Linked DNA regions of Caenorhabditis elegans. The protein of the gene in region 1 interacts with the protein of each later gene in a pairwise test. Each region holds a gene or a part of one and is shown on either strand. Other genes may lie near its edges.

Region 1 (4,922 bases):
CTACTTACCAGTCACAATACTACCGACATCCCCATCGTCGCCACAATCGGTTACATAATAATTATCGTTCGCAATCGGGCGCCACTGCCGCCACACATTCACTCACAGACAGTATACTGTTGGGCACTGATGCTTGTTAGTGTGGTACACGACGACGACAACCATAGATAATTCGCTCATTCATCAGAATCTGAGGACGAGATGAGGGCCACGATGATGATGACAAGCGTGTCAAGGTGAACTCGCGTAGTCTTTCCGTCCGTGTTTGCCTCGTTTTCGCGCGCGCACCCCTTCTTCACTGGCGCACCTGGCTTGTGTCCTTTTCATCGAATCGCTGTCCTCTAGATGTCGTTAGTCTCGTTCCTTATTTCATTTAACGTTCAAGGTTCCTAATATTCTCCATAATTTGTAATTCGAAAAACGCTTCGAATTCTCTCATTATCAAAATTTACGATATCAGCTCATGTGCTTTGTAAATTAGTTTCAATCCGCCCAAGATTCATTTCTATTATTGTCATAAAATGATTTTATTTGGTTTTGTTCTGAAAATTCTGAGACATTCTTGATCCACTCATTAAGATCTGAGAATCTTCCGTGCGAGATTTGAAACTTTTTGAATAATCTTTCGTCTATCATCTCTCTAAATATCTACATCTGGATGGCACATCCGGGTGTAAAACTATAAGATGCCAATCGACAATGATGAGGGAGAAACAAAAAAAGAAAGGAGGATTTACTTTTGTTTTCTTTTCGAACATCTGCTTTTGTCCGCGTTTTTTTTCATCCTCTTTCCATTTCCCTGCCAAGTGGGAACAAGTTTTTTGTTGAAAACTTCTTCCTCTCCCCCCTCCTCATTTCCCTCCTTGTCATTTCATTCATTTTCCTCGACAAATTCCATATTGGTTTTGTATAATGATACTTTTAAATTTCTCGAATGTGAATTTTTAAGCATATGCATCCCAGCCTAGAAGTGCCCTGATTTGAATTTTATGAGCTGAGCATGAAGAATATCTGCATCCTCACCTCTGCCGTATAATGTGTGCCAGCCCACGCCTGCACAAATTTTATTGGTCGTTATTTTACGCCGTTGCAATGAAGGTATATCGGTACACCTCAACTACGCACTTTTTGATGCTCAACGGATTATTTGAATTTCAAACTAAGTGAAATCGCTATAGCATTTACATTTATAATGCATTTTGTATTCACAGCGTACCGTTTTGCTATTTACTCAAATAGATTCTTTTCAAAATTCATAAAAGTGGATTGATTGCTCTAAATCGTCTAGTTTAAAAATTTTTTCATTGTATTTTTAAATAAAAATGTAGAAAAATATTATTAAGAAAATACTATCACAGTTTGTTCAAACAATTTATTTTTGATCAACCTCGTCATTCGAACTTCAGCAGGTAGATCAAAAGTAAATTATATGAAAAACCTTGATTGTATCGAAATTTGTAGCATAATGATTAAAGTTTCGTGATTCCTTGCCGTAACCTTTTCGTAGTCAGAACGCGCCAGACAAACCTTCGAATTATCAGAAGCTCAAAAATATATGTTTTTGGTTTATCATGGAACGAAAATATTTCTAATTGGATTCTGGGTTCAATTGCTACTGCTCCGAGGTCATTTCTTTGTGAACATGCATAATATATTTCCTTTGTTTCCCATTCCTCTGCTACACTTTCTCCATTTCCTCCAAAAATTTTGGACGATGCTTTTCGGATCGCTTTTCTTTTGCTTTCTCAAGAATATTTATTGCTTATAAAATTGTTGTTCCTCAAAACTCTATATTACTCTCTTCTAACAAAAAATACAATTTTCAGATAATAATAGTGTGCGTCAGACGGCACACGACGTCAAACACGTCAAACATAACGAACAACAGAAGAAACAAGGAAAGAAGAGTTTCGGCTCGATGGAGGAGCACCATCGACGGCTCCATGTCAAGGCGGAGCGTGCGTCGGTGATAGGAGGAGACATTGTCGACGGAGCATTCGGCAGTTGGGCTCTTCGAGCAGCACGTAGTGAGCATCAACTTAAGCAGCAGAGTAACGAAGATTTAGCTCAGGTTGGTGGAATAAATTACATTTTGTTCAAATTAAATATTTTTGTTGAGAAAAGAAATACAACAGAATTGAAATAATTATTAGCAAGGTTCGAGAAATCTAGAAAAAAAATCGAAAATTAAAAAGCGAAAATTTTCCAATTTTTTGTAGCAAATTAACAATAAAATTAAATTAAAAAAAAAATACTTTGTGCATGTTGATTTAAAAAAAATCATGCAATTTTCTTTAAAACAAAGGGAAAATGACCAAAATATTGAGCTATTTTTCGAGATATAAGAAAAAAATTTTTTCGATTTTAGTAAGAATCGAAAAAACGACATCCTTGTTTGGAATATCGTATTAAAAAGATTTACCAAAAATGCTAATAACTATTTCGAGCTCTGTTAAATTAATTCTGACAATTTTACTTTTTACAGACGTTTAGCTGACGCTACTCGTAGAATTAACTGTAAAATGTAAGAAACAGAAAATGGAAAAAAAATTCCTGATTCCATTAGCGTTCTATTCTGAAAGCTATTTAAGTAAAATTGGTAGTAGAAAAAGCAGAATGATTAACCATTTTCTCCTTTTTTCGCCATAAAGAATTGGATTCAGTGCAGTCAGAATCACGGCTTTTCTCCTCGTTTGCATCTTTCATAAAATCGGCTCCGCGCTTTCCTGCTTCTTTCCGATTACCCATTTTCTTTTATCCGATTTTATGTGCTGTACGATGAGAAAAGCCGAAATTGGTGAAAAATAAATACGGAATACGGTAGCTTGATAAATTTCAATTGTCCCGCCCCGTTCTCTAGTATTCTTTTTCTTTTCGTTGGAACAGTAAATTATTTGTAATTTCAGAATGCTCGAATCTCGGCATTGCTCGGTGAGATGCGTCCAAGAATGTCAGCGATGCCACCAAATGGACATCAACAGCAATATCAGCCACAGTTGAGAAGAAAAGCAAATACGACAAATATTGTGGATGTATCATCACAAGTTCCATCAGGTAAGGAATATTTATTACTCAGATGCAAAATTTTTCTATTTTCGCTCCAAAAAAATACGGTACACCGTCTCAAAGTTTCCGATGTTCTTGAAAGCAAGCGAGTGTGCGCCTTTGAGGAGTACTGTAGTTCCCAAGTATTTTTTGTTGCGAGATATTTTCGAATGTTTCATAAGTGTAAATCTTTAAAATTATTGAAAAATATGTCAACATATATTTTTTAAAATTCATAAAATCTTGAAGAAAAAAATCAGCAAAACATAATTTCTACACGTGTTTTTTGTCGAAGAAATTTAATTTTTTTCCTTACTAACCAAAGGTGCCATCGAATTTTTTTCAGAGCCGATCAAAAACGAACAATCGAATAAAAAATGTTTAGAAGATTAACAATAAAATTCAATTTTTAAAATCAATTTTTGTTTTTTTGTTTGTAAATAAAAAAGAACAATTTTATTTTTAATATTTTTTTTTGAAATATCGGTTTGAATTTAAAAAAAAAACTGCAATTATTCGATTTTTCTTAAAATCAGAAATCAATTTTTTCGATGATTGTGAAAAGTCGACACCCTTGCGCCCAAAGAAGAATCCTGAGATTTTCATATTTCATTCTGAGAATTTAAATTTTTTTGGCAATTAAAAAAATTGTCAAATTACCGCCCAACTACAGTAGTCCTTAAAGACTCTTTCAATCTAAATAACACGTCTGTCACTTTGTTACCGGCTGCGGTTTTTATAGAAAAATTTGAGAAATATTGCATCTGAACAAGTTATTAAAGGAAAATTGGATGTTCTAATCTTTTAATAGAATTTTCAGCACGAAATGCAATTTACGGGTCTTGGCAAGATCGTCATCGTCCAACGCGTCTGTATGGAAGTCAACTTGTTTCGTCTTCTTCAACTCTTCCCAAATATGATCAATTGTATTGCAATACAGCGTCACCATTAACTGGAAACGGATCAACCAATACAATTGCCACAACTGGAATTCGCAGAGAACCACCTGAATATGGGTATGTATTCATTCTGCCTTGTGTCGTTGTGATCCCTAAAATACAAAAAAAGAAACGTATTTTCAATCAGAAAATCACTACAAAATTGTGATTTAAGAAAGAGCGAATTCCTATTTTCTCTGTTAAAATTCTAACATTTTTTTTTTCATAAAATTTTTTTTTTTTTAATATTTTTCGGCAAGAAAAACAAAACCATTTCGATTTTCCGGAAAATCGAAAAATCGAAAATAATGATCAAAAAGTTAACAATAAATTCAAATTGGAAAACCGACATCCTTGATGTGCACCACTATTTGAAACAAACTTTTCCCACTTTTATCGCTTATTTAAAAATTATTTTTAAGCTTCTCACAAAAATTATAATTTCTACGTTTAGAAATGTTGGTCGCTCGGTGTCAACTTGGCAAGTTACAAACTCGGAACATCGTCCATCATTGCAAGCAGGATGGTTGAAAAGTTCACGTCCATTAGCTCGCGGAGCACTCTCACCGGCTGCATATTTCCGTGATTTGGAGAATAGACATGGAAGTGGAGCGAGCTCTCCGATCGTTGGAGGATTATCAGTTGTGGCGGTACCGATTACCCAGCGTCATGCTCCAACTGCTGGACTTGCACCTATTAGTGATGATGTGAGATTTCTCATATAATTTTCACGTTTTATATTTTTTTATAATTTTTTTAGATATCCACTTCCAAAGTATCATTGGATACGGAGAATCAACAATTGAATAATGAAGACTCTGATAAAATATCTGGAAGTGCTTTATCCCGTAACACGCCTAGACAAGCAAGTTTTATGGCTGCAATGCAGAGGCATCCATTGAAAGAAAGTAAGTAAAATTCTTCTCATTTAACGCGATC
Region 2 (7,743 bases), 310 kb from region 1:
GCTTCTCAAATGTATCTTTGGTGTAGGTTTCAACGAAAGTCATGGTAGAATGATATGCGGTGTTTTCAAAATTGCTGGCAGGTTTCTGATGCCTGACCAGATTTCCGATCTTCTCTTCCTGCTCACGAATGCATTGAATACCAGTGTCGCATGTAGAAACAAACTTTGTGAATTCAATTGACTCCTTGATCTTCTGATGCATTTTCTTCAGTTCTTCATTCATTTTCAACCATTTCTTTCGCAATTGATCGATTGCTGTTACAGCAACCTTCGTTCGAATCACTTCATCATCTGACATCTGTTCAGCTTTGATCGTCAATGTGTCCATATGATCTCCAACTGTTTCCAAAACTTGAAGCTTTCGTTCAACATCAGCTAGCACTGTTTCTGGTAGGCCTGTTTTGAGATCGAGAATTTGATCGAGAAGTTGCTCTTTCTCACGGATTTCATTCATTGTCTGAAGAAAATATAGTTTAAAAATAATTAAGTGTTTTTAAAATCACCACAAAGTACTCCGTCCACTTTTCGAGCCGGTTCGTACGAATCTCCGCAATTTGACGATTGCTCTCCAGTAGTTCTGTCAATTCAGCCACTTTCTCATCGATTTCGACAAATTTATATTCAAGGGATGGACGTCGATGACTTGACACTAGCTCAGTTGTGAGATAGACGACTTTTGCCACTTTTTGTTCTCGACGCTGCGTTTCCAGTTGAAGACGTTGATGCTTCCGCTTAAGTACATCATTTGAAGAAACATCATTACCAACGTTTGTACTTGAGAAGATTACATTGATCTCTCTGAAATTGTTATATAAAGTATGAGGATCAAAACAATAATAACTAACTTGAACCAACATATCTCATCATCAATTGCTGTGACAACTTTTTGCATGCTTTTCCAGACATCCAAATCTTCATTATTTGCTTTAATTAGCATTTGCAACTGTGAGATTCCGTTACGCAACTTCTCCACAATAACATCCACAGATTCATCACATTGAATACGTATCAAGATATCATCCTTTTCTCCAGCTTGCTCTCCTAGAGATACCAAAAGACGTGAAGCTTTTTCAGCATCTACAGAGTTATACAAGCCAATGAAGTTTGTAGTGGAGTGAACATCTGTTTCAGCATCAATCAGCCAAATGCTCATGCCATCTAGAAGTTCAAAAAGGCGGCTTTTTTGACATTCTTGTGCAAGCGATTTCTGGCGTGTTGTTGACGATTCAATGAGGCTGCTCCATAGGTGACGAATTACTTGAACTTTTTCCTCTTCAACCTGGCCATTGTTGAGAAAATCTTCATAGATTGTGTGATAATCGTTGATATCGGAAGCTAGCTCATCGTGTCTCTTTTGCATTCTTTCAATATCATCAGGCTTTGTCTTGTTCGAGACTTCCACATCAGCTTCTAGTGCTTCGGTGCGTTCCTTAATCCATTGTCGAATTGTGTCAAATTGCTCATCGATTAGAATCTGTGACATGGAATCATTCAAATCTACTTCTCTCCTTCTCAATTCTTCTTCCAAATGGTTCCATTCCACATCCAACAGTTCGAATTTATTTTCCAGCTCAGTTGTTTGGAAAGTGTCGGACGTTTTTGATGCTTTCAGATTATCCAAAAAATCTCGCAATTGATCAACTTCACCTATTCTACTCATCATCATCTTTTCCACTTCATTCATTCTCCGAACCAATGTCTTTGCATCACACATTGTTGCTTCTGTCTCCAACTGATGTCTTTTGCCAGAAGCCCACGAATAGAGTCGTTCACAATCCCGCTCAGCGCCTAGAATATCCGCGAATCTGCAGAGGTCGTCCTGTTTCGTGTCGATTGTTTCACGAGCTTTCACTAGATTATTCTCAATATTAGACACTCTCTCGAGCCAAGGATCCATTTTATCTTGTTCTGTGATTGCATTGCCAACAGAGGAAAGAGAGTTTTTGACACCTCCAAGTTGATCCACACGATGAGATAGTTCTTCTCTGAAATAATTTGAAATTGAAATGCTTTAAAAAGTCTGATCAATCTTACCTCCACGTATCAATGGATTCTAAACCAACTTGTACTCCAAGACCATCATGGATACTTCCAATAACTACAGTAACCTCCTCGTTGAACGTATCAATCCATTGCTCCATATTGATCATCTCATTGTCTAATTCGGAAAGAATTTTACAGCGCTCCATTCGTTTTTTATGATTTTCATAGGCCTTACTAACATCCGTCCACTGCTTTTCAAGTCTTTCTTCGGTGTCATACACTTGTGGAGCCAAATCAGCATTGGCTGCTCTCACTTCCTTTGATCTGTCAAGAGCTTCAACGACGCGTCTTCTGAGTGTTTCCAGATCACCGGCGAGGTTCGACAGATCATCACCAGCAACTTGTCGCTTTCTACTAGTGCTTTGAGAAACATTAATTTCTTCAAGTTTCATTTGGATGGCGTCAATCACATCTTCAGTCTGGCTCTCCAACTTCTTGAATATCTCGAGACGGCATGCTTTTTGGCGAATACGGTGGACTTCAAACGAGAAAACATCAAGCATACCGAATGCGTCGTCAATCTTTTGCATTTGTACTTGTCCAACTACATTGCACTTGATATCGGTGAGATTGGAACGTCTTCTTTGAATATTCGTCATTACATCATCTAACTTTGTGGGCAGCTCATCGGAATCGGATGCCAAATATCTGTTCAACTGATTCTGCTCAACCTCAATCCACTGCTCTATATCAGCAATTTGATGAGAAATGTCTGCATCCTGTAGAATTGCTTTGAGTGTTTTCAGCTTTCTCTCCACAAGTTTCTTCAATGCTTTGTAATCAGATTCAATTTCTCCCTGCTTTCGAGCCAGTACAGCTTTCAATTTCATTGTTTGCTGAGAGGTAGAATCTTTTGTGTTTGGAGTGACCAGTGCGTCTTCTGAAAAAACTATAATCTTAGACATCTGTGCAAAAATGGGAACGTACCAAGAAGAGCATGTGTTTCAACGATTCTAGGTTTGTAATTCTCAACTTCCTCAGTCAAGGCTTCCAACTTTTTGACCATAACTTCATTGAATGATTCGTCTTCTTTAGGTTCGATTGTATCGGCACATATCATTTTTTCACGAAGCCATTCTGATGTTGTCGATGACTCTTCATCATATTCGTACAATTTGATAATTCTTTCAAGAACACCTCCTCGTTCGTCAAACAAATCCTTCATTCGATCCCAATTTTGTTCAATCTCAAGAAGTATCGGTTGATCTTTCGTTGTCGCACTCTTCTGGATTACCTGAAAAAATCTTATTATAACTAAACAAACAATTATTAGGACCTCAGTAATTTGTTTTCGACGATTTGCAATTTCTTCGAAATCGTTATCGTGGCGTCTTCTCATTTTCTGGGCAATTAACAGTGAATCCCAGAGAGGTTCCGCACTTAGCGACTTGATTTTAGCCCTGATCCATTCGTTTTGTGAATTCAGTTCGTTCATGTTTTCAGTGATGTGCAAAAGTTTCTTTGTATCATCTACTTTTTGGTGAATCTTCACTTCAAAGTTTTCAACAGAATTCTGAATTCCTTCGAGAAGGCATCTTGGATCATTATCAGTATAAACGTTGGCCAACTCTTCTAGTTTTGAATCAATTGATTTCTTATACGAAGCACAGATTGACAACAGATGTTGATAATGAGTGGTAGTACGTCGGAGATTCACAGTTTCAGAAACGATATCGGTATCATCCTGAATCTGAAAAAAAGAATACATTTTCATTAGTCTTTCATAAGATATAAATACCTGATTGTTATCAATCCAATTTTGTACTCTTCCAACGAAGGCTTCTGTTCTGTCAGCTGCCTTTCTAGCTTCTTTCTGGCTTGCCTGTCTACCGACTTCCATTTCAATCTTTTTCAGATTTTCATAAGTTTTTCTGAGTTCTTCATTCGCCATGTTCTTTTGCTGATCATCCAACATCATATCCACCATCTCTACTTTCAAAGAATCCAGCTGATCCTTAATAGGTTGCACGATTTCGAGCTTGACTCTACTGCTTTTCACGTTGCTGAGCATGGTATCAGTGTGTTTTCTAGTTTCACAACAGTTATCGAGAAAGTACGTGACATCGAGAAGACGCTGTAGGATAGCTTTTCTAGAATTGACAGTCGTTTTCAGAACTTCTTTCATCTCGTTTAAATCGTTCACTTGTTTCGACGCGTATACGCTCAGCTGGTTGAGTTGTTCTGGCTTCTGACGCAGCTCGTCCTCAATATTCTCGATCTGCTCAACAACGGAAGTACAACGAACAGTGATGCCATCGATTACGCGAATCTCCTTTTCAATATCTTCAGCGTTCATATCTTCCGGGCTTTCTTCGTGATTTTGAAGAAATGATGCAAGAATGACAGCTTTTTGATGAGTTTGAAAGATGAGCTTCTCCATATTGATAGTTTGGATACGATCCTCCAAAAACTCATTGCAAGTCTTCATAGTTCTCTTTGCCAACTCATAAAGTTCAGTTGTTCTTTCAACTTCTTGTTTAACGTTTCCATTGTTCTGTTTATTTAGAAGTTCCTAAAAAACTATTATTAATTTCACAAGGTTGGGGATCTGTTTACCTGAGAACTTGCAAGGAACTGAACAACAACATTATCCCAAGAATTAAAATCAAAATTATTTGTTTCAATCCACATGATAATTTCATCGCAATCCGGCGTATCTGAAGTCGCCATTATCTTCAAATCTTCAATTTTTTCAGATGACCAACAGCAGATGTTTTCAGCTTCTTTCATCAATTTGTCGGCATCGGCAGAGTTCTCTATATCGGTTTTCCACTTTTGAACGAAAGCTTGGAATGACTCAAAACGTTGCTCAACATCGATGACGTGATTCTTCGGATCCGGGATGTTCCGAAGATTATCATTTTCCATACCAACAAATTGTTCCTTGAGATCTTTAATCCGTTGCTCTACACTCTTCATTTCAATCTCAACTGTTTTCCGATACTTCATCATAACTTCAAAATCCATTTTTGAATACTTCTCACAAATCTCTTTCTCCTTGTCATCCATCCATTTGATCAAATCTTCTGCATTATCAACAAACTTTTGGAAGCGCTCATTTTCGCTAAGCTTCTTGTGTAGAGAATCGATGTATTCCTGGAAGTTGGACCAAGTTTCATGCACTTTTTCATAGTTGCTCGTATCAGTTGCAGTGGGATCAAGCATTTGTTGGAAGGTAGCAGATATTTCATTCCAAACCATGGAACACTTCCGAATTTCGTCGAAAATTTCTTTTCCAGATTCGTCCGATTCTTTTATTTTCAAAATCCAGTCAACAATGGAATCACACTTGTTTTTGAATTCAATGGATTCAATCTCCTTTTCAAGTTGGCGCCATTTCAAAGCGAGAAGCTTCAGCAGATACTCCCATCGAGATAGAACATTGTTGAAGGTCTTCTGAAAAAAAAAATACTAGAACATTTGTATTTAAATTTTTTGAACTCTGCCTGAATCTCATCCGAAGCATAGTGACCTTCTTTCAAAAGACGGGCGGCCTCGTTCTCCAACATTGGCAAATTATTGTGCTTTCCATCAGCTTCTTGTTGTAGACGCCCAATAACTTTCTGTCCGCGAATGGAACTTTCAGAACATTGACTAGTAACTACTGCTTCAGATGATTCAATCAGTGACTCGATAACCTGCTTGAACTCAGCCGCTGACCTATAAATTTACATTTTTATTTTTAAAACAATGATTGACATGATAATAACCTGAGGTAGACTTGCAGTTGACGCGATTGGATGATCGAACTTCGTTTGTTAATAGCTTTCAGTTCAAAATCGGCAAACTTTTGAAGCACCTGCACACGCTGTCCCTGAAAACGAAATTTTTGATATTTTTCAATCATAATTATTTGAAAAAAACGTACCTCGATTTCACGAACGACAGTATCATCATGAATAATTGCCTTCATAACTTGATTAAACCAAAATTGAAACTAATTTTCAATAGAACGAACGAAGAAATGCCAAAAGTTTCCCTGTGTGTTTTGCAACGTGGCACCACGTGTTCAAGTTCTCCCGTTTTGCGTTCTTGTTGAAAACAACAGTTCACGTGAAATTGCAAAATATCACGTGAAAATTCAATTAATTAAACCACCTTAAAACATCTTGAACACCTCTCTTACAGACAATTTTGAAACACATGGCAACCTTATTTTTTTCGAAACTTGGTGTCACACGCCTTTTAGTGAAATTCCGGTACAAAAATTATTCCTAATTCGCGTCCATTAAGAGGCTTCGGCCATCAGGTAGAATTTGAAAAATAGAAATTTTTACTCTTTTTAAAACCATAAATATCCGCAAATAATTGTGCAACCAGCAGTCAGAGCAAGTCCTGAAATATCAATAATAATAAAAACTTGATAATCAGCGCCTGCTTCAATTACTGGTATTTTCCAATCAATTTTCCAGATGTATACAAGACTACAGTAACCCCACCAATTGCGATTACTGTCGATGCCGCTAACCAGAGCAGATGCAACAACATGTCACCCGACATTTTCAGTACGATCTTTGTATCCAATAGGAATCCTTGAGAAATAGTGCAACTTTTGCTTCGAATTATCCACATATGATTAAGCATTACGGCCAGAGCATCGGCGAGTGAGGCGAGTGGCGCATCCAACTGGTGCCCAACAGATTATTGTTTCTGTTTCAGACGTACACATACTCAGTGTATTCGACACCTTTGACTTTGAACCATACGAGAACTCTACCTTTGACAGCGATTTCAGGTTGGATACGCCACTCGCCTCACTCGCCGATGCTCTGGCCGTAATGGTTAATCATATATCCAGTGTGGATAATTCGAAGCAAAAGTTGCACTCGTTCTCTCTGATTCCTATTGGATAGACAATTCCGGAGTAAAAAGTTGGCCCGTACCGTACCACAAGAAAAACAACACTTCCAATTATGTACTTTTTTTGAAACTAAATTTTTGAAAAATTTTTATTTACTGTCAAAAAGTGGCAATTACTCAGTTCCTGCCACTCTTAATTTTGGAAGTCGACCAAAAAAAAATTGTTTAATTTTTTATGTTTTAATTTTGTTTAAATTATTTGTATTAAAACATTGTAGGGGTCTAAACGTGCGATGTTTCTTTCAATTTCCTCAAAAGTTCGTATTTTTCAAAATTTTTGGCAATTTGCTAAAACTTTGACCGGAAATTATGAAATATCTCAAATTTTTTGGAGTGTTTTATTATGATATTCGGTTGTTTTGGATCATTTTAAGTGCATTTAGACAAAATCCCCACTTGCGCTACTCTACCTTTAAAATTACTTTTTTAGTAAGTAGTAAAACGGTCCAGGAAAAACAAAAAAATATATAATTTTCAAATTTTCAGTTTTTCAACTAATTTTTCATTCGAATTTTGTTACAAAAACTTTATGTAGGGGTTCATTGCTCTAAGATTCTCAAAAGCCCATTTTTTTCAAAAAATAATGCAATCAATCGAATGGTAAAATAGCAAATACGATAAATGAGATCAATATTAAAGATGGTAAGTGAGAATGAAGGATGAAGCAGATATAATGCGTATATTGGAAGTTATACAGTCTGACACATTGTGATAAACTCGTGGATTGTTGCTTTTCCGCGTCCTTGTGTATCTGCTTGTTGAATAAGTGCACATGCTTCTTTGACGGTGATATTTGTTGAAACTGTTTCACTCCAAGCAACAACAAGTTCTTCAGCCGAG
Region 3 (4,955 bases), on another chromosome or scaffold:
TTATCATTTTCTCAGAAAAATTCAAAATTTGGGCATAGCTTCCGCATCTCCGGTGACAAATGTGCTCTATTGCACAAAGTGTTGGTTGGAATACGGTATTTATTGCATGTTTCAGCCGAGAATACCGATATTCCAGCCATCAATTAGGATAGCCACACAAGCCACAGAAATTCATTTTTAATGGCTTCCGAAGCTACAGTAACCCTTGCTTAATGGAAACTCTGGCAAACTCAGAATTTGCTGAAAATTTTGCTCAAAACTTTGGAAAAATAAATTTTTCTAAACATATCTACTTGAACTTCTAAGCGTGAAATTAATTTTCCCATATTAACGCTTCTAGTTTTTTGTCACTTTTTTTTTCTGAAACCCCATGCTTTCCACTACCTTAGAGCTCTCCTCAGTCCTTGGATCCAGTGTTACCAGGAGACGTGCGGTCTGTTGTATACTTCCAATGAAAAATCCATAATTCAACACATTCTTGCCAGTTGAAGCAAGTGTTGGCACTCCGGGCGTTGTTGAGCTTTCCGAGACAACTAGGCGTCTGAAATTAGGAAATTTAGGAAATTTAGCAACATTTATTTAATTCATACGTTACATTAAAATTGTAAATTTCAAAAGAGTTTAGAAATGAACTAAATTTTCTTATTTTTCTCCAATTTTCACTGAATTTCTACTATTTTTCGCTGGAAATTATTTTATTACCTCAACAAATCAGCTGCAATCTGTCGTGTCATCATACAATCGTCATCTCCAATAGTAAGAACATTAAAAGTACACATAAATGTATCATGGACATTCTCAGTACAGTACACCATATCTCGAACTTTCTCGTCCAAATATCCAATTAGTACCAGGCTTGAGACGACTGCAAATACTTTTTTTTTCGATTTGTTAAAAATTGTTATTTTTTGAATTTCAATTTTTTCCGAGTTTTTAAAAAATAAAACAATTTTTTGTTTTTTGAAATTTTTTTTTTTCGAATTCTTCAAAAATAAAACAGTTTTTCGATGTTTTTTCTTTTGCGAATTTCATGAAAATAAAACAAGTTTTCGGTTTTTTTTTTAGAATAATTTTTTTTCGAATTTTTTGAAAATTCAATTTTTCGATTTTTTTTCTAAAAATACAATATTTTGCGAATTTTTTAAAAATAAAATTATTTTTTCGACTTTTTCGAAAACTAATTGTTTTTCAGTTTTTTGGAACTACTGAAAAATGAAAAAAAATTAATTTTTAAAAATATTCCGTAAATCAAAAAATTCTTAAATATCAATAATCCAAAAATCAATTTCGGTGGTCCTAATTTCAAAAAAAAAATTTTATTGGAATTCCAACTATGTCATTAATTCAAATTTTCATGTTTTCACTAAAAATTCTGAAAACTCGATTATTCCAAAAATTACCGATTATCCTCGCGTTGTGCTGTAGTAATTTCATCAATTGCCTGCTAAACTTCTTGTATGACGTAGATATTTTTATTCGTTTACACGCAGATTTCGATGCAGAAGCCAAATTGCACAGTATTGCAATACAGTATGGCATCCATTCTGGTTCGGGTTCTCGTATTCTGAAAAATGTTTGAAAAATTAGAAAAATTGATCTAATTTGCGAGCAAAAAAAATTTTAGCCCGAATTTTAAAATTATCGTAAAATTTTTGTTCCTATAATTTAAAGAAAAAATCTTTTAAAAATCCCACAAAATTCTATAATTGAATTTCTGTGAATTTGCGTACTTTTGAAGCCACAGTAACCGGAATTTCGGTTTTTGTTGATTTCCTTGCTGGAAATTAGCTTCTGAACTACAGTAACCAGAAAATTGCAAATTTGTCGAAAAAAAATGTTAGAAACTTGCTTTTTGTAGATTTTTTAAATAAAAATTTCTACCAGTCGCAGAATATGCAAAATATATCAATTTTTGCAATTTTCGCCCTCAAACTCACACTTCTTGCATTAAAAACGATATAAGCTCGTTTGCCCAATGTTCCAATGGCACATTCTTTTCATAACTTAAAACTTGTAATAATCTGAGAATATCAATCATATTTTGTGGTCCTAATTGTTCTCGAAGTGATGCTTTTAGACATGAAAATACTGCTCCAAGAAGTCGAAGCTCTCCGGCCATAAATCGACGAATCGGTATATTATGATGGGCAATTGAGAAGAGAAGTCGGTAGAATTTCGAGCGTGTTACAATGTTTGTTGTGGAGGCATCTGGAAATTGCGCGTCAAATATGGTGTATTGGGTACGCAATGGGAAAATTAGTGATTTTTACAGAAATTTGAAAAAAAAATTGAATTTTCGGCTTTGAAAACTGAAAAATTAGAACATTTTCGTGAATTATTGAGGTCCGGTGATCACCGCGGTGAGTCAAAAACAAAATTTATTTTTCGAAAAACGATTTTTTTAAAAATAGAATTTCCATAATTTTTGGGTCAGGTCCAAAAACTCACTTAAAATCACTGGGGTATACGTCAAAAACTCTTTCAATTGCTGATTTTTCAGCGATAACCGTGTGGCTCGATCCATGTCTGCCACGTAGCGGATCATTCCGTTAAGCGCTTCATCGAGGCGAGTTGTGTTGTCAGCACTGCTATCCGATACATATCTGGCAGCGGAAGTAGTCGCCAACGAGAAAATTGCGTCAGTCTGGAAATTCTAGCGTTAGAGCAGGGTTGCATAGCACTGAAAATTCAAAAAATTGGATTTTTCCACAGAGCGCGCTTCCTCGTAAACGGAAATTTGAATTTTTCAAAGTTTTATTGCTCGCGCGCTTGCTTACAAATCCATTTTATTAGAGCACGTTGGCATTGTTTTCGCATATTTTCTCAGTGGGGCGCACTTGCTCACTGCCCCCTTATATACCTCATTGATATTCGGCGGTGGTGGATCTCTTGCAAATCTCTGTGACGCTCGAAAACTGCTCCTTTCCATAGTTTTCCATCAAAAAAAATCGCTTCCTAGGTTATTAATTGAGTAGAATAGGTGAGTAGGTATGAGGAAATTGCTGAAAAAGTACCTTATACACCAGATTTTTCGCGCTAATGTAAGGTCTATTAAAAGTACAAGGGAACAGTAGTAACTGCGCTAATTAAGCGTTCTAGACATAAGTGGATCAACAAGAACGGATTCGGAGGGTTTGAGCAAATACCAAAAGGACATTGATATCTTTGCTAGGGATTTACGCTTATAAATAGCAAAAATCTTGAGATTTTCCTAAAAATTTGGGCATAGCTTCCGCATTTTCGGTGACAAATGTGCTCTATTGCACCGAATTGTTGGTTGGAATACGGTATTTATTGCATGTTTCAGCCGAGAATACCGGTATTCATACCATCAATTTGGATAGAAGCACACAAGCCACAAAAAATGATTTTTAGTGGCCCCGGTAGCTACAGTAATCCTTGTCTAAATTGGAAACTAGGGAAAATCAGGATTTGGAACCTTTTTGCTGGGAAAACTGCTCAAAACTATGAAAAACTAAGCTTCATTCTATTGGATTTTCAGTCATGAATACCAAAGTTCATATCATCGAACTGAATAAAATCACACAAGTAAAAATATTTAAATTCCACTGTAGCGTTCAAACTAGAGCTAAATCTTAGAATTTCTGTATGTCTAGGATTTATCTAAAATTCCAAAACCGAATTTGAATATCTACGAGATGACTAGCAAATCGGAGATTTGCTAGGCTTCGCAGTTTGGTTCGGCGTAGAGTAACTCAAGAATTTAGTTTAATGATAATTTTATAAATAACAGTTTCCACTTTTCAAATCGCACTTAACGGTTCCCCACTGTTTCTACATGTATTCGGGCAAAAATAGGCTTGACGGATCTCCAACACTTCTTCGTGTATTCGGACATGCGGCCCTCAACTCGGGTTTATTGGGCTCAGAATAGGCTTAATGGCTGTTCAATACTTTTGTGTATTCGGGCCTGCGGCCCTCAATCCGGATTACCTGACCTTTCCAAAAACAGACGTAGTTATGGAAACATACGTCTCATAGAAGGCCTCCAGCCTGCTCTGCTGGGAGTAGGGATAGAAAAGGTCTAAAGTTTCTAAGAGTAAGAGGGAGGTCTTCATCCCTGATTTTTGGGTTTGAGTGAAAAACAATAGCATTGCAGGCCTCCAGCCTGCCCTGCTGGAAGTGAGGTTTAAAGTGACCAAAATGTCCGAGAAGTGCGGTCCTCAATAGGATTAGAGAAAAAGTAAAAATCTCGAAAAATCTTTAAAATTGAACTTCCTCACGTTATTAAAATAAGAAATTAAAATTATCGAATTCATCCCCAAAAATAAAGAAAGAGAGAGTGGTAGAAAAGTTTTTCACGTTTAATCCATTCTTTTAATTTTGCAAAATTTGAATGATGGCCTACATTTTGGAAAGTTGGTCAATTTTTTTCCAAATAGTTTCAAAAAATTGGTAATTCGAAGTTCTATCTTGTGCACAAATTGGAACCAAATGCCAGAAAAACTGAAGATTTGGGACTGAAAAACATAAAACTCTTCAGTACAAAGAAAATATTCAATTTTCGCGGTCTCCAGAAACCTGCGCAAATCAGTGTTCTACCCTTCCCAAAACCAATCCTCTCAATAATGACCATGGTGGGGCAACTATTTTTGAGTCATTCGCACTTAGTGAATGCAAAAGCGCCAGCTATGAGCCAAGTTATTAAAGCTCAAAGTTTGTACATTTTTATCGGACACCCCATTACGACAACGTGCCCTTATTTTTTATTTCTGTCAAGAATGCAATTTCAGGATTTAATATAGGAAGAGGCAGAGAAGTTGAGTTAAATGGGAAGGAATAAAGGGGATTACTCAAGGACGCCTCCATCATCTTCTTCAGTTCAAAAGGGGAACAATTATCGCGCTACGTATACATCAAGAGATAGTACTGGATATAGGAGAGACTCAGACAGGAAAAGAGTGTCATTTTCCAACTTGCAAAATCGGAACACA
Region 4 (5,227 bases), on another chromosome or scaffold:
GAGATTTTGAGTTCTAAAAACAACTCAAACTGATGAAATGTGCGTCGACTTTTTTGTACTGCAACCATCGCAGTGTCCCCGACTTTCACACGATCTCTCGCTCATTTTAGACCGGTTGACAGTAGATGATCCTCAGTAATTATGAAGTTTCACCTGCCACGGGGCCGCCGTTTTCTATGCATTTGCTACTGCCTCATCTCTTTGCCGCTGCCATTTATTTTTGTTTACTGTACACATCATTCTGTTCCATTTTAACCCCTCTCCCTTTTACTATGTACTTTTCGAAAATTGTTCAATAGCCGAGAGCCCTGGATGTTTGAGCCGAGATATCTTTTTTATGTACACCGCCATGCTGGAACGCAGAGAAAACTGTTTATCTTCCCATTTTTCCAGAAACTCGTTCAAACGGATACTTCTCTCAGTGAGAAGCGGTACCTAACCAATCAACATTTCAAAAATGATGGAGATTACCAGAGAAAGTGAGTTTCTTCATTTTAACTACTTAAATTATTCCGATGACTTTCCAGGAGGTGAGTTGCGGAATGTTTGCCTTTGTATTTCGCGGTAAGGTGCTTACCATAGACTAACAAATCTAACTGATCAGCGATTGAAAATTCAAAACTTTGAAAAAATAACATTACAGGCATGCGTTTTTTAAAGAAAAAAGATTAATGAAACAGTGAGATAAGACGGAGTGCAAGATGAACAAGCACATCGGTAAATAAGAGGCTCGTTTCTTGTGCCTTGTCGCAATTTTTTATTGAGATATCTTTCCGATTGTCATTGAAGCATCACATTTATCCGCATAGGCTTATCTTATACTAGTGAATATTTTTGCAACTAGATCCTACTACTTTTTTATATAAAAATGTACACTACTACTCGTCCGGGTAAGTAACTGGCTGAAAATTGCATTCACTTCGGCAAAATAAATTATCTAACAGGAGTTTATTTACAAAAACTTGGTAGATCATTTCTGAATGTATATATAGTTTAAAAAACATCACTTTTTTTTAGACCTGAGCAATTTAAATACTCTTGCTAATATAAAACACCGTGTTTGCTGAAAAAATACAGTGTTTTACATAGTTAAAGCTCAATCCGTTGCTTGAATTTCATTTAAACGAATCCATATTCAATCTTGAAAGTGACAGAAGTAGAATAGGAGTGTTCCCAGATTTAATCGCTTTTGTGAAAACCAGACAACTAACACATATTCTCGCAACTTATATATGTAGGTGTTTCTAAACTTTTTCAAACATATTTGCACCGTTATTCCATTTGAACTAGTCATCAATCAATAAACTACTCGTGAGTACTCAAAGTTAATTCAAGGCTAATTTTCTTCTCACTTCAAATTTTTGAACAATTTTGTACAAACATATATTCCGAGGCGTTGTCTAGTTTTTGTCTCCTCTTCCACAAAAGTGCGTAGGCACGGTAGCAAATTGAAATGAATCACCTCAACCCAAAAAAATCTCAAATGTCATTTCGCACTTTAGCAAAGCCTCGAAACGTATGAATTTATGCAAAAACGCATGTCCAATAGGCGAAAAAAGTAGAATCGAGAGGAATCGTAACGACGTAAGGGTTGACTGAGTTGAGGATGAGATGATTTTTGGAGGACGCGCCCATCCCTCACACCTATTCTTTTTTCCGCATTCGCGCCAGATATCAAGAAGCCGCCGTTCCGTCCTCACTTCACACCCATTTTAAAGTGATTCTTGACGCCTCCCTTTGCAAAAAAATTCCAAACACCGACTTGAATCAATATAAATATACATAGGCAAACAACTATGATCTCATTTCCTTTCGTGGAAAAGGGCAATAATAATATTTGATTGAGTTTTCTATTTCTCCTCATAGATTTTCATAGGTTACTCATAGGTTTTTTTCTCTTTATACAACAGTCTAGAATACTGAAATATATTAATTTTGCATTGCCTGTTTTGTTCTGCCGCCATGTATAAAAAGAGTTGAGGAACAAAAAATTTCATTTTCTGACTATGGAAGGTTATATTGTTTCTCTTCCATCTTCGCGACGATCAAGCGCTTCTAGCGCTCGAAGCGAGCAAAGTTCCACACGAACTGTCAATTACGAAGTGATTGAAAAGAGTAAGCCTTTCTTGTGCCCTCAATTTCAACTAACTCAAAAAATTGCAATTTTCGTTTAATCCCTTTTGTCTACATGCTATTATCATTAGTGTGGGAGGAAGCTGCGGTTGGTAGCAATGAAGGAGGAGGAGTAGAAAATGTTGAATAAAAAGTGAGGAGCAGTGCAAGAAATTTGACGCCCACCTAGTTTGCGCACCGTTGAGACTCCGCTTTTGTCTCTACAGTCAGCCTCCGACTAATTCCTTGGTCACACATTACGGCAGTCAGGGGTTGCCATACAACTCACAACCTCATTTTGAAATTTCGAAGCTGCCGAGTACAGTCGGCCCTTTTCACTTTCACAATAGAAATTTACGATTTGCAGCGATGTCTTTCACTTCCACAACACCTTCAGCTAGAGCTCCGCTCGGAGGGCGTACAACCGGAAACGTTACTTGTAAGTTTATTGTTGTCTGTGCAAAACATTTAAATCAACATATTCCAGCCCAAGATCGTATGCTCAAAATTGTGACCGAGATGCGCTCAGGTGCTGGATCCGGCTTGTCGCCATTTGGACAAAATGCTGCATCAACCATCCGTGACTCTCGTGAACGTGAGAAGAAAGAAATGAGCGATTTGAACGATCGACTTGCTAGCTACATCGAAAAGGTGTGTAATAGGAATAAGATGGACCACACCCAATAGTTGTTTTTTAGGTCCGTTTCCTAGAAGCCCAGAATAGAAAATTGGCAGCCGATCTTGACGCACTTCGTTCCAAATGGGGAAAAGACACGCACAACATTCGTAATATGTATGAGGGAGAACTTGTGGTAGGAAAATACAGAAAGGAAACTTTTGGTTAGAAAACTATATTATAGGATGCTCAAAAGCTGATTGATGAAACCAATAAGCAACGCAAGGATATGGAAGGTCAACTCAAGAAGATGCAAGATGAACTCGCTGAGATGCGCAGAAAGTACGAACATATGTTTTGAAAATTATGAACAGCATATTACCGTTATTATACTTTTTCTACAAAATGTATTTTTCAGATTGGAAGATGCCACCAAGGGCCGTGAACAGGATCGCGCTAAGATCGACGCACTTCTAGTAACCCTTTCTAATCTTGAAGCTGAAATTAGCCTTCTGAAACGTCGTATTGCTCAGCTTGAGGATGAGGTGAAGCGGATCAAGCAAGAGAATCAGCGTTTGCTTTCTGAGCTTCAAAGAGCCCGTACCGACTTGGATCAAGAAACCCTCAATCGTATTGACTACCAAAACCAAGTTCAAACTCTTCTTGAGGAGATTGATTTCTTGCGTCGTGTCCATGACAATGAGATCAAGGAGCTTCAAACTTTGGCTTCTCGTGATACTACTCCAGAAAACCGCGAGTTCTTCAAGAACGAACTCTCCTCGGCTATTCGTGACATCCGTGAGGAATATGACCAAGTCAACAACGTTCACCGTAATGACATGGAATCCTGGTATCGTCTTAAGGTCCAAGAGATCCAAACGCAGTCTGCCAGACAGAACATGGAACAAGGGTATGCCAAAGAAGAAGTCAAAAGACTCCGCACCCAACTCAGCGATTTGCGTGGAAAGCTCGCTGATCTTGAAAGCCGCAACTCTCTCCTCGAGAAACAAATTCAAGAGCTCAACTACCAATTGGAAGATGATCAGAGATCTTATGAAGCAGCCCTCAACGACAGAGATTCCCAAATCCGCAAAATGCGTGAGGAATGCCAAGCCCTTATGGTCGAATTGCAAATGCTCCTGGATACCAAACAAACTTTGGATGCCGAAATCGCCATCTACAGAAAGATGCTCGAAGGAGAAGAGAACCGTGCTGGACTCAAGCAACTTGTCGAACAGGTTGTCAAGACCCATGCTATCACACAGGAAACCGATACCGGTAGCAGAAAGACAATTTTTTCCATTAAAACATACATCCTTTTTCAGAGACGATGAGAGTCGTCAAGGGCGAAACTGCATCCCGTCAATCGTTCCAGCGTTCTGCAAAGGGAAATGTTTCTATCCACGAGGCATCGCCGGATGGAAAGTTCATCGTCCTCCAGAACACACATCGTGCCAAGGACGAGGTAGGAACTTGAATCACAACAGTTTCAAATATTTTTTGTTCTCTTTCAGGCTATCGGTGAGTGGAAGTTGAAGAGACGTATCGACGGAAAACGTGAGAATGTCTACACGCTTCCAAGAGACTTTGTCCTTCGTGCCGGAAAGACCCTCAAAATCTTCGCCCGTAACCAAGGAGTTGCCTCACCACCAGATCAATTGGTCTATGATGCTGAAGACTCGTTCGGAAGCGGAAACAACGTCCAAACCATCCTCTTCAACAAAGAAGGAGAGGTGAGATCAACAATTAAATGTCATTATATTTACAACATTGATATTAATTTCAGGAACGTGCTACCCACATCCAACGCCAGAGCACTGCCTAATCAGGCGACTTCCCAACAATTAACTAGATATTGTGACAATTTCTTGTTGAAAATCCCAAAATCTTCTTCCCATTTTGTAACTTTCATGCTGATTTCTGCGCATTTATTTGACCTTATTTCAATAAATCATTTATCATTCAAACATCAAAAAAAAATTTGATCACAATGTATTTGCGTAGGTTATTTTCATAGAACAGATGATGTAAAATTCTCAAAATCGTCGGAATTCGCCCACCTGAAATGGAAGCGTATGTTTTTGGTTACTAATCAATAGAGCTGAACGAAATGCCGTAAATAATTGTATATCGGCGAGATGAGCCGACGTCGACATCTAAAACTCGCGTTACTGAGAAGTTTAAAGTGTTGTCCTTCTTAAAATTCCAGTTGCACGAATATAATGTTTTAAATTTTTAAATATAATTTTGAAGTAGGAGCGTATGCCAAACAAGGGAAAATATTTTGAAACTATGGTCACTGCGCTTGATTCGAGAAAATGAAGCTACTACAAAACTGTCTAGGGTTTTAACAAAATATTTTTCCGCTGGAATTGTTACCAAATACTTTTTCAGCGTTCCATCTAAAAGCACATCTATTGCATTTTTAAATGAGCTTTAAATTTGCACTGAGCACTACAGTTTGCTATATTATTTCAATAAAAAAATAGAAAGCGATTT

What was found.
Region 2: the proteins of pac-1 (region 1) and spc-2 interact in a two-hybrid assay, tested with the Caenorhabditis elegans proteins (one large-scale study listed by BioGRID).
Region 3: the proteins of pac-1 (region 1) and cip-2A interact in a two-hybrid assay, tested with the Caenorhabditis elegans proteins (one large-scale study listed by BioGRID).
Region 4: the proteins of pac-1 (region 1) and ifa-1 interact in a two-hybrid assay, tested with the Caenorhabditis elegans proteins (one large-scale study listed by BioGRID).

The regions. Positions count from the first base shown.
Region 1 is NC_003281.10:8,493,192-8,498,113, forward strand, and holds the start of pac-1 (GTPase-activating protein pac-1), read left to right. Parts: upstream 1-1,918; coding exon 1,919-2,071; intron 2,072-2,906; coding exon 2,907-3,054; intron 3,055-3,865; coding exon 3,866-4,061; intron 4,062-4,437; coding exon 4,438-4,690; intron 4,691-4,743; coding exon 4,744-4,894; intron 4,895-4,922. UniProt on the Caenorhabditis elegans protein: GTPase-activating protein for members of the Rho subfamily including Rac1, RhoA and cdc42 and other Ras-related subfamilies including let-60.
Region 2 is NC_003281.10:8,180,146-8,187,888, reverse strand, and holds the start of spc-2 (SPeCtrin), read right to left. Parts: upstream 6,009-7,743; 5' UTR 5,957-6,008; coding exon 5,912-5,956; intron 5,858-5,911; coding exon 5,754-5,857; intron 5,704-5,753; coding exon 5,490-5,703; intron 5,440-5,489; coding exon 4,600-5,439; intron 4,556-4,599; coding exon 3,782-4,555; intron 3,734-3,781; coding exon 3,320-3,733; intron 3,278-3,319; coding exon 2,971-3,277; intron 2,924-2,970; coding exon 2,035-2,923; intron 1,986-2,034; coding exon 846-1,985; intron 799-845; coding exon 504-798; intron 458-503; coding exon 1-457. Other genes in the region: putative calcium-binding protein C50C3.5, read right to left, coding at 7,593-7,743.
Region 3 is NC_003280.10:270,965-275,919, forward strand, and holds the start of cip-2A (CIP2A N-terminal domain-containing protein), read right to left. Parts: upstream 3,009-4,955; 5' UTR 2,930-3,008; coding exon 2,861-2,929; intron 2,645-2,860; coding exon 2,449-2,644; intron 2,209-2,448; coding exon 1,938-2,208; intron 1,565-1,937; coding exon 1,401-1,564; intron 866-1,400; coding exon 703-865; intron 542-702; coding exon 385-541; intron 1-384.
Region 4 is NC_003284.9:11,270,791-11,276,017, forward strand, and holds ifa-1 (Intermediate filament protein A), read left to right. Parts: upstream 1-2,006; coding exon 2,007-2,115; intron 2,116-2,479; coding exon 2,480-2,551; intron 2,552-2,599; coding exon 2,600-2,763; intron 2,764-2,810; coding exon 2,811-2,924; intron 2,925-2,972; coding exon 2,973-3,070; intron 3,071-3,146; coding exon 3,147-4,006; intron 4,007-4,053; coding exon 4,054-4,193; intron 4,194-4,242; coding exon 4,243-4,461; intron 4,462-4,514; coding exon 4,515-4,553; 3' UTR 4,554-4,692; downstream 4,693-5,227. UniProt on the Caenorhabditis elegans protein: Cytoplasmic intermediate filaments make up the structural component of the cytoskeleton providing mechanical strength to cells.